Macaca mulatta: one gene and its partner. The protein of the gene in region 1 binds, or shares a complex with, the protein of each later gene. Links are inferred from orthologs where the notes say so. Each region holds a gene or a part of one and is shown on either strand. Other genes may lie near its edges. The genes, in order: AP2B1 and LDLRAP1.

Region 1 (6,758 bases):
ATATATATATTTTAATAATATTCCTTCTATACTCAAAAATGAATATATTTTTCCTTATCACCATCACTAATAATACTTATTACCAACTTCAGGACAAGACATGCTGGCACCTGCTCATTATTATCAGGTCAATATGACATAATATATTTGGCAAACAATAGTAAATATGTATCTAGGAGAAAAGACCTAAGCAGCAAACAAATCAATGTAATTAAAGGAAAGAAAAAAGAGCCAGATAAACATAAAATAATGAAAAACTTCTGGTTCAAATCTGATCTCAAAAATGTGCTACTTGTACAGTTTAATGGAAATTAGACTCATCTGCTATCTTTCCAACCAGCTAATTACTATTTATAGTCTTGATCCCAATAGCTCTTTAGATTGTACCAGAAATTCACAGAATGATCTTGTTAAAAGAAGTGAGCTAGGACTCACAAATATCATTACAGAATATAGAAATTTCTCCTTTAATACTTGTTATAATTAAAAATTATACTGAGGCTTGCCTTATGCAATGTTTTTACAATGCCTTTCTAGCAAAAATTCAAAGAATGTTATAATCATTTAATCCATTCATAATGTAAACTAAATGTGAAGTGGGCAAATGAAGAAAGGAATTTTTCACATAAAAGACCTGGAATAAATCTGAAGTTATCTATGAATTTATATATACAAACAGAAAAACCAATAAACAGAAATGATTACTTGAGCCTCAAAGAAGGACTATAGCTCAAATCCATTACAATCTTTCTAGGATGTTTACTATGCTATGCTATGTCCTTTAAAACTTGTTTAAGATTTTAAAACAAAACCTCCTTAGAATTCGTCACCCAATTTCTTTGAAAAGGGTCTTATACACACACGCATTAAATTTTTTTTGGCCAGGCGCGATGGCTCATGCCTGTAATCCCAAAACTTTGGGAGGACGAGGTGTGCAGATAGTTTGAGCTCAGGAGTTCGAGACCAGCCCGGGGAACATGGCGAAACCCCATCTCTAATAAAAATACAAAAATTAGCCGGGCATGGTGGCACATGCCTGTAGTCCCAGCTGGGACTCACTGCAACATCCGCCTTCTGGGCTCAAGTGATCCTCCCACCTCAGCCTCCCGAGTAGCTGAGACTATATGTTGGGATCACCGTGCCCAACCCATTAAAATCTTTTTTTTTTTTTTTTTGTGAGACAAAGTCTCACTGTGGCCCAGGCTCCAGTGCAGTGGTTCGATCTCAGCCTCCAGTGAAGTGGTTCGATCTGGGCTCACTGCAACCTCTGCCTCCCAGGTTCAAGCGATTTCTTCTGCCTCAGCCTTCAGAGTAGCGGGGACTACAGGCACCCACTACCATGCCCGGCTAATTTTTGTATTTTAGTAGAGAGGGGGTTTTCCTTGTTAGCCAGGCTCGTCTGGAACTCCTGACATCAAGTGATCCATCAACCTCGGCCTCCCAAAGTGCTCGGATTACAGGCATGAGTAAATTCTTTACAGGAATTTTCACTACATTCTATTAAACAATAAATTAACCTAAGTCTTAAGTCATGCCTTTAACAGCTCACATATTTCATTATCTGTAACAATTTCAATGTCAAGGAATATATTACTGTCCTGTTCACTGTGAGCATTAAGTGTTTTCATCTTAACTAGAAAATAATGCACCCACCCACAAAATTTCAGGGAAGAGAGGAGGGTCAAGTATCTTTAGAAGCCCATAACATAGATTCTAAATTAAGAGTCCCTGCTGCTCTAAAGAGAAGGGATATCACTGTAGTAAGCAACACTATTGTAAACAATATTCCCTATCCATATTGGCAGAGAAACATGGTGCCAAGCTGGTTGTTGCCTTAAGCCAAAAGAAACTCCAAGAAAAATGAAAATCGTCTAAATAAAAACAAATAGAAGACGTGATTGTTGCACAACACTGTCAGTGTACTAAATTCCACTGAACTGTATGCCTTAAGCTGGTTCATTTTATGGTACGTGAATTTCACCTCAAAAAAATAATCACATATATATGATTAAGTGTATCTCTCATATAGTGAGTTCTTACCTCATATAATGAGAGACACATTTAATCACATGCTAGATATGGACATAGCCAGAGTCTCCAAAATACAGGATGGCAAAAACTGACATCTTCATTAGAAGTAACAGAAAAAGTAAACAAAATAGAGCTCAAGAAAAAAAAAAACAAAAAAACTCAAATATTTGCTGAAGTGCCTCAAAAATCAAGCTGCTCCTTTGGGGGAGAAAATGTTCCTTCAGAAGAGCCAGAGAAATAAGCAAAGCCATGACGGAATTTGAACTAACACTACCTTTCTACCAGATCAAACCAGACAAGTCACGGCTGTTCTGAGGATTTATGATATGGCCTAAGGCCATTGTTAAACAACAAAGCTGCCAGAGTCAAAGCACATAATCACTCTTACTTGCCCTGACCAGAGTGTGATGTCACTGCATTTCGGAGTAGGCCTCCCTGCACAGGATTACATATCCAGATTTAACATAACCTAGTTTCTATGAAATATAGGTTGTCAAAGTCCCTCCTCTCCTATACCTCCCTCCAGTTCCCTAAAAGAGAAATTGAGCAGCAAAATAAGATTAATACCTTGGGTAGAATAAGGTCAAAAAAAATTAATAGGATCTTAATTCAAATGGCTCTCTGGGAAGCCAAATTAGTTCGTAAAGTCCCTAAACCCTTCTTTTCACAAAGTTGGATTTTACAAAGCTCAGTGCTCACAGTAAAAAACAGAACAAAGTTAACCAAATTATAAAGCAGAAATGTCATTCCAGTAATCTTTTATTGTAAGGGTGAGAGGTGCCAAATTCATTTCTAATCAAATATTCAGTAATAATGCAAAGACAATAGCATCATCAGGTATTATTTTTCTCATAAGAAATTACGACACAAAAGCTAAAATCACCTGTGATTTCTACTTAGACTACAAAGTAGCTTCTTAATATTATATAGAAGCAAAGGAGTTCAAAAGTTTTACATCTAATTCTTAACCAAAATAACATTAAACTCTGGAAAACTTAAGCCTGGAAGGAAAGAAAGGACAAGAGAAAGGAGAAGGTGCCCTATTTAATATATTCCTTGCTCAGCTTGGTTCAAACCTGTGCCTAAAAAGTTAGTACTTCAAAATATGGATCTTTTAAGGACGGAAAGAATGAAAGAACTGGACTTGAGTTTCTTCATATACAGTCAGAATATTAGATTTATATTGATTTTACCACCCAGCTTTTAGTGAGGATGCTTGCATTATACATCACCCTTTCTGCTTCCTTGAAAGTTTCAACGGTTAAGATACCTGCAAACAGTTCTCACCTTACCAGCACGCTTAGTCATCACTGGAATGTGTTACACGTTTTCTTATAGAGCTGCACCTCCTTCATCTGCTACTTTCTATTATTACTTTGTAAGTGTACCCTGAGGCTAAGCAATTCAAGTATACAAGGAAGGTAATTAATAATTTAAATTGATTCTCATTGAGACCACCTTCTTTCTTAGTCATTCTGCCTTTGTAAGTTTAATGCATTTTCTTTTAAACCACAATGGTTACGATAAGTCTTTGGCGGTTTTCAAAACATTTTTTCTTTTCAAAAGTCAAGTTTGGCTGGGCGCTCTGGCTCACGCCTGTAATCACAGCACTGTGGGAGGCCGAATAGGGAGGATCGCTTGAGCCCAGGGGTTCTAGACTAGACTGGGCAACACAGTAAGACCCTGTCACTGAAAATATAAAAATAAAATAAAATAAAAGTCAAACGTTTAATGAAGCATCCGCGTGAGTTCAATGAAAGCCTGTCCCCCCACCCCACCCCTCCAACAGAAGACTGCTCTTGAAAATAAGCAGCATGAACAAATTATTTGGATTCAAATGATAAGGAAATAACAGTAAGTTCCAGTTTCTTTACTTTCAGCTTAATCTACAGCCTTTCCCAAGCCAGACCATTCCCGCAGAGCCCAGAAAAAGAAGAAAAAAAAAAAAAAAAGGTGGGTTAAGATTTACCCCCATTTGCTTCCCCCTCTCTTACATCGGGTCAATTCTGGAGGTTACTCTTCCTCCAAGAGTCAGGAATGCCTCTTCTTTCCCCAAGTGGTCAAGATTCTAGCGATATGCTCCTCCATTACGGAGCAGGGAAGAGGTTGTCTCTTACCCTCAAGTTACTGGACAGACGACGTTCGCCCATCAATGAGCAAACGGGTTTTTCCCTTTCGCTTTTGCTGGACACGTCTCAGACTCTTAGTGACTCTTAGTGAACGACGCCGAGCGGGGAAGAAAGACGGTTCCCCCCACGGCCTCCAGGCTCTATCAGCCACACCCCTGGCCTCTGGTCCTCCTAAACCCCCAATTCCGAAGTACATCTTACCCTCATGCCCCCAACTACTTGCTGCCACACCCGAGGATTCCCTCACCGCACCACAGTCATCATGGTGGAGACCCTTTCTCCAACCTTTTTCCTCTCACTGGTCACACCCGACGGTTCCCTGTATCCTCAACGGTCACGCTCTTAGGATATCCTCGCTTCCGCCGGTCCTCGACCCAGCCTGGGGTTCCCCTTCTTTTCGTCCCCCACCCCGTCAATTAGGGACACACCCCAAAGGCAGCCTCCCTGAACTCACCGGAGGCGGAGGCGAAGTCGAGGGCGGGGGTGGCGGCGGGAGCCGGAGAGCACAGCCCGGGTGGTGGTGTAATGGTTTCCTGCCCGTCACGATTCTTTTCTAGGTCTAAGCCACTGCGCAAAACCCACTTTGCCAGGGACAAAGATGGTGGGCAGGAAACTCTGACGTCAGAGAACCTCGCCGCGTGACGTCATCGGGGTGCGCGGGAGACCTAGCAAGGCGGTAATCTCTGTCGCCTTCCAGCCCCAAACATTTCCCATGGTCCCAGCAAAGCTGGCCCATCTGGGCCTCAGAGGATGTTAAGTGGCTACTCCAAAGGAATATATTTAAAACGCTGACAATGGATTTGTTACCTCGCACAGAAATTCTCTGAAAAACGTAAACACAGAGATGATGAAATATCCTGTTCCTTTGTGAAAAAACAAAACCCCTCAGCTCATTTTCCTTCCAGGCTCAAGAGCGGACAATGGTGATATAACCCAGGGCTATATACGGGCAGTGGGGCTAGAGGATAGTGGTGCAGGTAAAAGAGGTTGAGGAGGCATTGGATGTGAGTTTGAATCCCTACCCTGAATGTGACTGGGAAAGTTAATGTCTCCTCAATCTTCTTATCTGTGAAATGAAGACAATGATAGTATCTCTCTCGGGCATGTGAAGCGTAAACCAGATAAATTAGGTCAAGTGCCTAGTATATAATAGGTGTGCTTACACAAAAGTAAGTTTCTTTCGGAAACTAAGACCTAGATTCCAGGACCTGGAACTGGAGAACAAGATTGATGAGGTTAAATGAACTAGCTGTCCCTAAGGTTAATTTCAGGGTGTAAGGAAGGATGGAGAGCAAAGTGATTATTTATTTTTCTCACATTTTGCCCATGAACTCTGTGAGTCAGAAAGTGTTTAAGTATTTTAAAACTTCATTCTTAAAAAAGTGATCAGAAGTACATTAAAATTTTGTATAACATACTCATGTATTATTATTTCCTGTTATTAAAATAGAGGAATAGGGGAAATTGGAAAGCCAGGTATAAAGAGAGATAATGTAAACACTTATGGTAAATCAGATAGCTGCATAATGTTATAGAATATTTTATGACAGAAAATTCATAAAGTGTTAAGTAAAAATAGGATACAAAACAATATAGTATATGGTATGACTATATATGTATAGAAAAAAAAGGCTAGGATAGGCCAGTCATGGTGGCTCACACCTGTAATCCCAGCCCTTTAGGAGACTGAGGTGGGCAGATCACCTGAGGTCAAGAGTTTGAGACCAGCCTGGCCAATGTGGTGAAACCCCGTCTCTACTGAAAAAACAAAAATTAGCTGGTGTGGTGGCACATGCCTATAATCCCGGCTACTCAGGAGGCTGAAGCAGGAGAATGACGTGATCCCAGGAGGTGGAGGTTGCAGTGAGCCAAGATCTCGCCACTGCACTCCAGCCTGGGTAACAAAACCAGACTCGTCTCAAAAAAAAAAAAAAAAAAAAAAAAAAAGCTTGGATATTCAGCACAATGTTAAAAGTGGTTATTGCGGAATAGTGAGAGTTTTACTTTTCTTCCTAATATTTTTCTGTACTTTTCAAATACAATGAACATGTATTTATTTATATGATTGGGATGTGCCTTTTAAATCATATTGTTGAAAAATATGATACAGAAAAATGCTTTGAAATGATAAGAATAAAAGAAAGATACAAAACTCTAAATCCAGAGGCGTATATATACCTATTAGTGGTTCTCTCTGGGTGCTGATTACAAATGTTATCTTCTTTATATTTGTTTTATTTTCCAATCCTTTCTCTGAAAAATGCATATATTTTAAGGAAAAATGAACCAATGCTATTTTCAAAATACAGCATCAATCGAAAAGCTTTTCCAACCTCATTCTCTTCCACTTTTAGGTGAAAGTATTGACCAATCTCCCTTCTTTTCACCTTTTGGGACCATCACGGGCTCATAATCTAATGGGAGATCACTCAAGAAACTGTTGAAATGATCCAGCCACATGATGATGGTGGTTTAAACAAGTAACTGTTGATATTTATTGAGTATGATTTTATGTCAGTTACTCTGCTAAGTACATTTTTACATCCTCACTACCTACCTGATAACCAGGCAGGTACCATTACTTCCTCTATTTTAAGA
Region 2 (6,949 bases), on another chromosome or scaffold:
AAGGCTGCACTCCAGCCTGGGCAACAGAGGGAGACTCCCTCTTAAAAGAAAAAAAAAAAAAAGAGTATCCATCCATGGGATTGTTTTGAGGATGAATTGAGTTCACACCTGAGGTGAGCTTAGAACCCTGTCTGGTACATACCAAGTATCACAAGTGTGAACTACTGTCATTACCAATGGTCAAATGCAAAGAGCTTTAACATGTCCATGGCCATTCTCATACTGAAAGAAGAGTCCAGGATAGATCAGTGTTCCCATTTCACAGATAGAGAAGCCCAGAGGAGTCTGACCATGGCTCACTATCGACAGCACTGGGACTCCAGTCCACACCTGCCTCCTGCAGCCCAAGCCCCTTGGTGGGATCAGGCAGAGCTCTGTAGGGCTGCTCAAAAAGAGTATCTGACCCTCAGTGGGCAGTGGGTGACCTCTGACTCCTTCAAGCCACATGCCCCTCACACAGCCCCCAGGCCCGTGAGAAGCAGAGTCTTAGGCTCCAGTTCACCATTCCCTGCACTTGCTGTTCCCTCTGGCTGGAACGCTCTTCCCAGACTCCTCCCTCCTGGGATTCACCGGTGTGTACTGAGTCACCTTCTCACAGGGACCTTCCCTGGTGCTGTCAATGGCCGCCCTTATCCCCTCTGCATACCACTTCCATGTTGTGCTGACTGCCAGCACCTGCCGCTCTACCTGCTGGAGATGCTGAGGCCGGTGCAGACTGGGGAATGAAGATGTCCCATCCCCAGGAGTCCTCCCCTCCGGCAAGGTGCTGCCCTTCTCTGGGCTTGTTTCTCCACAAATAAGCAATGCTCATGCTAATCCTAGTGGGGACCTTGACGGGGAGGAACAGGTCACAACTGAGAGCAGCGTTCGAGTCTAACTTTAACTCCACTGGCTTCAGTTTGGCCTCAAAACTCAACCACAGGGACCAGGTCCAAGGCCCGGATGGGTCACAACCCTGAGCAAGGTGACCCTAGCACCCCCACCCCCACATACCCCATGGCCCCTGCTCTAACCTGTGGCCACTGCTGTCAGAGGCTGCCAGCCCAACCTGGGGTGGGTGAGGACTGCTCCCAGCTCCTCCCATGGCAGAATCCACCAAGACCTCTGCGCTAGGAATGTGGAGCTCTGCCTCTTAGACGTTCTGTGTCTGGGGCCAATGACTCCAATGCTCAGAATCTCAGTTCCTTTGTCTCTAAAATGGGCCTGCTCTGTCACCTCACAGGAGTCAATGAGAGAATGGAAGCAAAAACACGTTGTAAAACAGTTACAAAAAAAGTAGTTACCATTTACCAAAGTCTTCCTCTATGCCAGGCAAACGCAATTTCATTTGATCCCCACAAACAGTTGGAGGCAGGTACTACTGTTATTTGCAATTTACAGGTGAGGAAATTGAGACCTCATCACGAGGGACAGGTGGGGCTCGGCCCGCCCTCCTTCAGGTCCAGAGGCTCCAGGACAGCACTCTGGGCTTACTGGGGCCTGGAGGAGGGAGAGAGGTGCTCCTCTCCTTTCCTCCAAAGGTGCAGACGAGCTCTGGGCCCCCAAAACCCATCTCACCCCAGTACTAATCATGCTGGCGGCGTCCCAAGGATAGGCAGGGGGAAGAGGAGCAGGGCAGAAGAAAGCCACCAGTTAGGAGGGAGCATTATTACCAATAATCTCCTTGATACTCCTGCCAGGTAAGAGTTTTTATCCCCATGTTGCAGATGAGGAAACCAAGCATCAGAAAGGACAAGTGACTTGCCCAAGATTGAAGATGGCAAGAGAAATTCTCGGCCGGGCGCGGTGGCTCAAGCCTGTAATCCCAGCACTTCGGGAGGCCCAGGCGGGCGGATCACAAGGTCAGGAGATCGAGACCACAGTGAAACCCCGTCTCTACTAATAATACAAAAAATTAGCCGGACGCGGTGGCGGGCGCCTGTAGTCCTACTCAGGAGGCTGAGGCAGGAGAATGGCGTGAACCCAGGAGGCGGAGCTTGCAGTGAGCCGAGATCGCGCCACTGCACTCCAGCCTGGGCAACAGCGTGAGACTCCGTCTCAAAAAAAAAAAAAAAAAAAAAAAAAAAAAAAAAAGAGAAATTCTCTTCCACCATCCAAAGTGGCTACCTCTTCTGCGTCCCCAGATTCAGAGATGTTTCTTTCTAGCCTCCCTTCTCTTGCCAGCCCCCCTTCCTTCAAAACCACTTCCCCGGGGGCTGCCCTGCCACACTCCCGCCCTCATTCCTGGAGAAAACCGCAGGATTCTCCCGCTGGAACAGATGGCCATTCTCAGAAGTTCTGGTCAAATCTTGCCAGTTTTTAAAGGGTCTATTTTGGGAGGCAATCAGTGTGATAAACGGTGCATCCCCTGGCCCACTGGCCCAGCCCTAATGGGTCTCTGACACCACCCCCCACCAGCAGGCACCACCCCACATTCCCAATGCCAATGCCAGTCTCAGTTGGGAGGCGGCCACAGCTGAACAACAGAGTGGGGCCAGAGGAGGAGCAAGGCGGGCCCTCTAGGCCCAGACACGCTGGCATTCCTGGGACCAGGGAGCTCGGGCTCCCCTGGTGGAGCCCTGTAAGGCCAAGAGGGAATGGGGTGAGGGGGTGCTGTACTGTCAGTTGTTTCCTGATGAGGGGAGAGGCTGTGGCCCGAAGTGGCTGGCAGGGAGGTGGGAGTGTGCAGCAGTCCTGGGTTCTGGCTCCAAAACCGGCAGGAAGGTCTGTGTGACCCCAGGCAAGCCACTCTCTTCTCCCTCCCAAACAACGAGACCTGCGACCTGCGCTGGGCTGGTCTTCTGGCTTCAGGGGAAGGTGCCAGGTGACAAGTTCCTTGAGCGTAACCAGAGACAGGGAGAGAAAGAAGCCACGGGGAGGCCCCTCCCAGCCTCCCAGACGCTCCAGGGAGAGGTGACAGCGAGTCTGCCGTTGGCCTGGGCGCCCAAGGGACTTTAGAAGCCCGAAGGGAAAGGTGCGAGAGAAAACAGGTTTCAAAAATAGTTGGGACGCCAGGCTCGTCACCTGGACCCGACTAGAGGAAGGGACGCAGGGGTCTAGACCGCCTCATGTAGGGCTCTCCCGAGGCACCCCAGGCGGGGCCTCTCTCCCAATTTCAAGTACGTACCTGCGACCCCGGGCTCACACCTGGGTGGGTGTCTGGACACCCGGAGTCAAAAGTTGGCCCGGTGGGTCGGACAGGGGGCGGGAGAACGGGCCAGTGGGCTCCCGCCCGCCGCAGCCGCTGGCTGGGGCGCAGGGGTGCGGGACGGGGGCGTCTTTCCAAGCTCCTGCGCCCTTTCCTCCTCCCTCAGGCACCGACGACCAGGGCCTGCCTCCCCCTAGCTGGCCAGGACAGCAGGGCGGGAGGTGCCGCGGGTGGCGGGGACCTCTTCTCCCAACCTGCACCCCACCCCATGCCGGCTGCACCTGGGGACCTCGAGCTCGGGCTCCTTCCTCAGCGCTGCCCCTCCTCGCAGCGGCACCGAGCGGCCGGGGAGTAGGTGCGCAACTTGACCCCGGCCGACCCCCTGCCCCGCAGGGCCGGGAAAGGGCCACGCCGGGACCTGAGCGCCGGTCAGGCCCCGCCTCTGCCCAACTTGGCCGCACTCCGGGCGCCGGCGGAGGCCCCGCGCGCCGACCCCGGCCCGGCCCGGCCGACGCGCGCACACTCACTGCGGTGCCGGCCGCCGCCCCCCCAGCTCTGCTTGGCCAGGCTGGGGCTCCGGATCAGCGCCCGCCCCGCGGACTTGAGCGCGTCCATGGCCCGCTCCGGCGCCGCCACCGCTGCCGCCACCAAAACTCCGTCAGGAAAAACTTTCCGCCCGGCCCTGCAGCGCGCGGGCTGCGCGCTCCTCCCCTCCCGGCGCGAGCTCCGCCGCGGCGTCCGACGGGGCGGGGCAAGGAAGGACAGGCCACGCCCCCAGGCGGGCCCCGCCCCCGACCGCCGATCTCGCCCCGCCTGGTCCCTGTCCAGGCCCAGGGTCCAGGCCCCAAGAGCTTCTGAGGCCGCCCGAAGGCGCCAGAAGATAGCGAATCGCAAGCCCCAGACGCCCCCGCTTTCCTCCTTCTCCCCAATCCCCACCCCGTAGGAGCCTGCGGGTCTGAGAGCAGCGGCCTAGATTTCCAGTGACCATTTTACAGATGGGGAGACTGAGGGCTCCTCCAATGGTGAAAGGTCTTGTTCAGGGACAAGAACAATGCGATGTCCAGGGCAGTGGGAGACTTAGGAAAGAGTGGAGGCTGTAAATCAGGGATATCCAGACTTTTGGCTTCCTTAGGCCACATTGGAAGAAGTGTCTTGGGCCACACATAAAATACACTAACAACAGCCCATGAGCTAAAAAAAAAAATATATATATATATATATATATACACACATATATCTCTCAAAAGAAAAAAAAAACTCATGAGTTTTTTTTGTTTTTTTGGTTTTTTTTCCTGAGACACAGTTTTACTCTGTCGCCCAGGCTGGAGTGCAGTGGTGCGATCTCGGGTCACTGCAACCTCTACCTTCCGGGTTCAAGCTGTTCTCGTGCCTCAGCCTCCCGAGTAGCTGGGATTACAGGCATGCACCACCATGCCCGGCTAATTTTTGTATTATTAATAGAGATGGAGTTTTATCATGTTGGCCAGGCTGATCTCGAACTCCTGACCTCAAGTGATCTGCCTGCCTCAGCCTCCCAAAGTGCTGGATGGCTGTAAGCCACCGCACCCGGCCCAAAAAGTCTCATAATGTTTTAAGAACCTTTACGAATTTGTGTGGGGCCCCATTCGAAGCCGTCCTGGACCTCACATGGCCAGTGGGCCACAGGTTGGACAAGCTTGCAGTATAGACCCTTGTTAGGCGCAGGGTCGGTATATAAAAGTTTGCCCTTACTTTACTCATCCACGTAGCTCCCTGGCTGCTCCCTGGCACCACCTGAGCATGCTGGGCCACCCCATGCCCCTGCAACTTCCCAGGTAGCCTCAGAAATGGTATGATCTGGAATGTGCCCCTGACACTGACTTGCTGTGTGACCTCAGGCAAGTCCTTCCCCTCTCTGAGTCTTGTTTTTCTGTGAATGAGAGTCAATGCTATCTCTAGTGATCCTTCCAACCTGCCAGGGTCAAGAATCTGCATGACCTTGACCCTGACCCCATGCTGCTTCCTAGGAGCATTCGGAGGGCAGTCTGAACCCCAGAACTGCTCAGGCACAGATGTTCTAACTCCAGGATTGGAAGGATTTATTCTAACTCTCTAGGATGCCGTGCCTTCCTTTCAAACTGTGCCAAAAGTAGCCAGAGGGAGGACACACACATCCAAGCCACAGCCTGGCTTCTTTTAGAAGAGGGTGCCGCAGGCAAGGCCAACTTCAGCCTCTGTAATTACTCCCAGCTCAGAAGCCAGCAGTCTTCTCTGTGTCGGGAGAAACATAGCACTGTGCTGTCCCCAGCTGGATAGGGTGGCCTCACTGACATTCCCCTGTTTATAAACCAAGTGCTTTGTTAGCCAGTCTGTCCTTGGCTTCCCCAGCAACACTGCTTAGGTGGACCCACTTAACAGATGAGAGCCCTAGGTCAGGGAGGGAAGCATTCACTGATAGTCTCCGAGAGTCAGAGATTGGGATCAGACTCAGGCCCATAGGCGATGGGGTAGAGTATAATGCCAGGGGTTAGAACTCAGCTGTCCTTTTGGTGGTTGTGAACTCACCCTTCTGAGCCTCATCTGTAAAAGGGGCAACTGTACCTATTTCACGGGGCTATCCGTAAGGACTAAATAACAGGAGTTGGAATGGCTGAATCCTGTTCTTGAGAACCTACCTTTAAAGTTGCCTCCTCCAGGAAGCCTTCCCTGACTACCACCCATGGATTAAGTTTCTCTTTGTGGGCGCCCACAATCCTGAACTTTCAGCACTGCAAGCACTGCTGCTGCCTGTTTATACTCTTCTCATCTCCATTAGACTTTGTACCCTCCAAAAGCAGGAAGTTTTTCTGATTCATTTCTGAATCCCAAATGCCTAGTAAGGGGTCCAAATGGAGTTGGAACACAGTCAGTGTTCCTATCCTTCCTCCCTCCTTTCCTCCCCTTCTCCCTTTCTCCAACTTTTCACCAAACCAGGCTGCCTTCTGCAAAAGGGCTGTGGCAATAGGTAGGTGGGTCCGCAGGGCTGAGCCCCCCGGCTCACTTATCCCGAGCCAGCTAGATTCTGGAATAGTAGAGAGAGCATTCTGGAGCAGGGAGGAAAAGTGATCCCCCAGGGCAGACTGGCCAAGGGCAGCTGGTGGTGTCCGGCTGGCAGGGGGCACCATATGGGCCTGATAAGCAGGAAGGCCTGGGAACTCTGCGTGTGCAACGAAAGCTGTTTACCGGCCTTTGCAGTTTCCCGGAGATGGCTTGCTGGGAGCTGTCAGCCATGTGTCCCCTGCAGAGGGGCAGCCTGCTAGTGCCCCTTCTGCCAGTCGCAGAAACAGAAGCAGAAACAGAATGTCAGAGCTGTGAGTGGCCTCCTCTGAGGTCACTGTGGCCGAACCCTCATTTCACAGATGAGGAGGCTAAGACCCAGAAAGGGATAGGGACTTGTGCAAGGTTACACAGCAAGCCAGGAACAAATGCCAGGTCTCCTGCCTCCCACCTTGGATGCTTATAACAAGGAGGAGGCAAAGAAGTAGGGCCAGGCGCAGTAGCTCACGCCTGTAATCCCAGCACTTTGGGAGACCAAGGCAGGCAGATCATCTGAGGTTGGGGGTTTGAGACCAGCCTGACCAACATGAGAAACCCCATCTCTACTAAAAATACAAAATTAGCTGGGCATGGTGGCACATGCCTGTAATCCCAGCTACTCGGGAGGCTGAGACGGGAGAATTGCTTCAACCCAGGAGGTGGAGGTTGCAGTGAGCCGAGATCACGCCATTGCACTCCAGCTTGGGCAACAAGAGCAAAGCTCCGTCTCAAAAAACATAAATAAATAAATAAAAAAGAAAAGAAAAG

The links.
Region 2: the proteins of AP2B1 (region 1) and LDLRAP1 are in contact, whole or in part, in a crystal structure (PDB 2G30), measured with the Homo sapiens proteins. The link is inferred for Macaca mulatta from reciprocal best matches to the Homo sapiens genes AP2B1 and LDLRAP1. Residues at the interface, in NP_001273.1 of Homo sapiens: Arg834, Gln835, Phe837, Leu838, Trp841, Glu849, Gln851, Ile876, Ala877, Arg879, Val881, Glu882, Gln884, Met886, Tyr888, Glu902, Arg904, Ser915; in NP_056442.2 of Homo sapiens: Asp253, Leu255, Asp256, Ala258, Phe259, Ser260, Leu262, Ala263, Gln264, Arg266, Thr267.

The regions. Positions count from the first base shown.
Region 1 is NC_133421.1:45,057,356-45,064,113, reverse strand, and holds the start of AP2B1 (AP-2 complex subunit beta), read right to left. Parts: upstream 4,722-6,758; 5' UTR 4,362-4,721; intron 1-4,361. UniProt on the Homo sapiens protein: Component of the adaptor protein complex 2 (AP-2). Adaptor protein complexes function in protein transport via transport vesicles in different membrane traffic pathways.
Region 2 is NC_133406.1:215,486,252-215,493,200, forward strand, and holds the start of LDLRAP1 (low density lipoprotein receptor adapter protein 1), read right to left. Parts: upstream 3,834-6,949; 5' UTR 3,743-3,833; coding exon 3,655-3,742; exon of another isoform or gene 3,107-3,654; intron 1,216-3,106; exon of another isoform or gene 1,014-1,215; intron 1-1,013. UniProt on the Homo sapiens protein: Adapter protein (clathrin-associated sorting protein (CLASP)) required for efficient endocytosis of the LDL receptor (LDLR) in polarized cells such as hepatocytes and lymphocytes, but not in non-polarized cells (fibroblasts).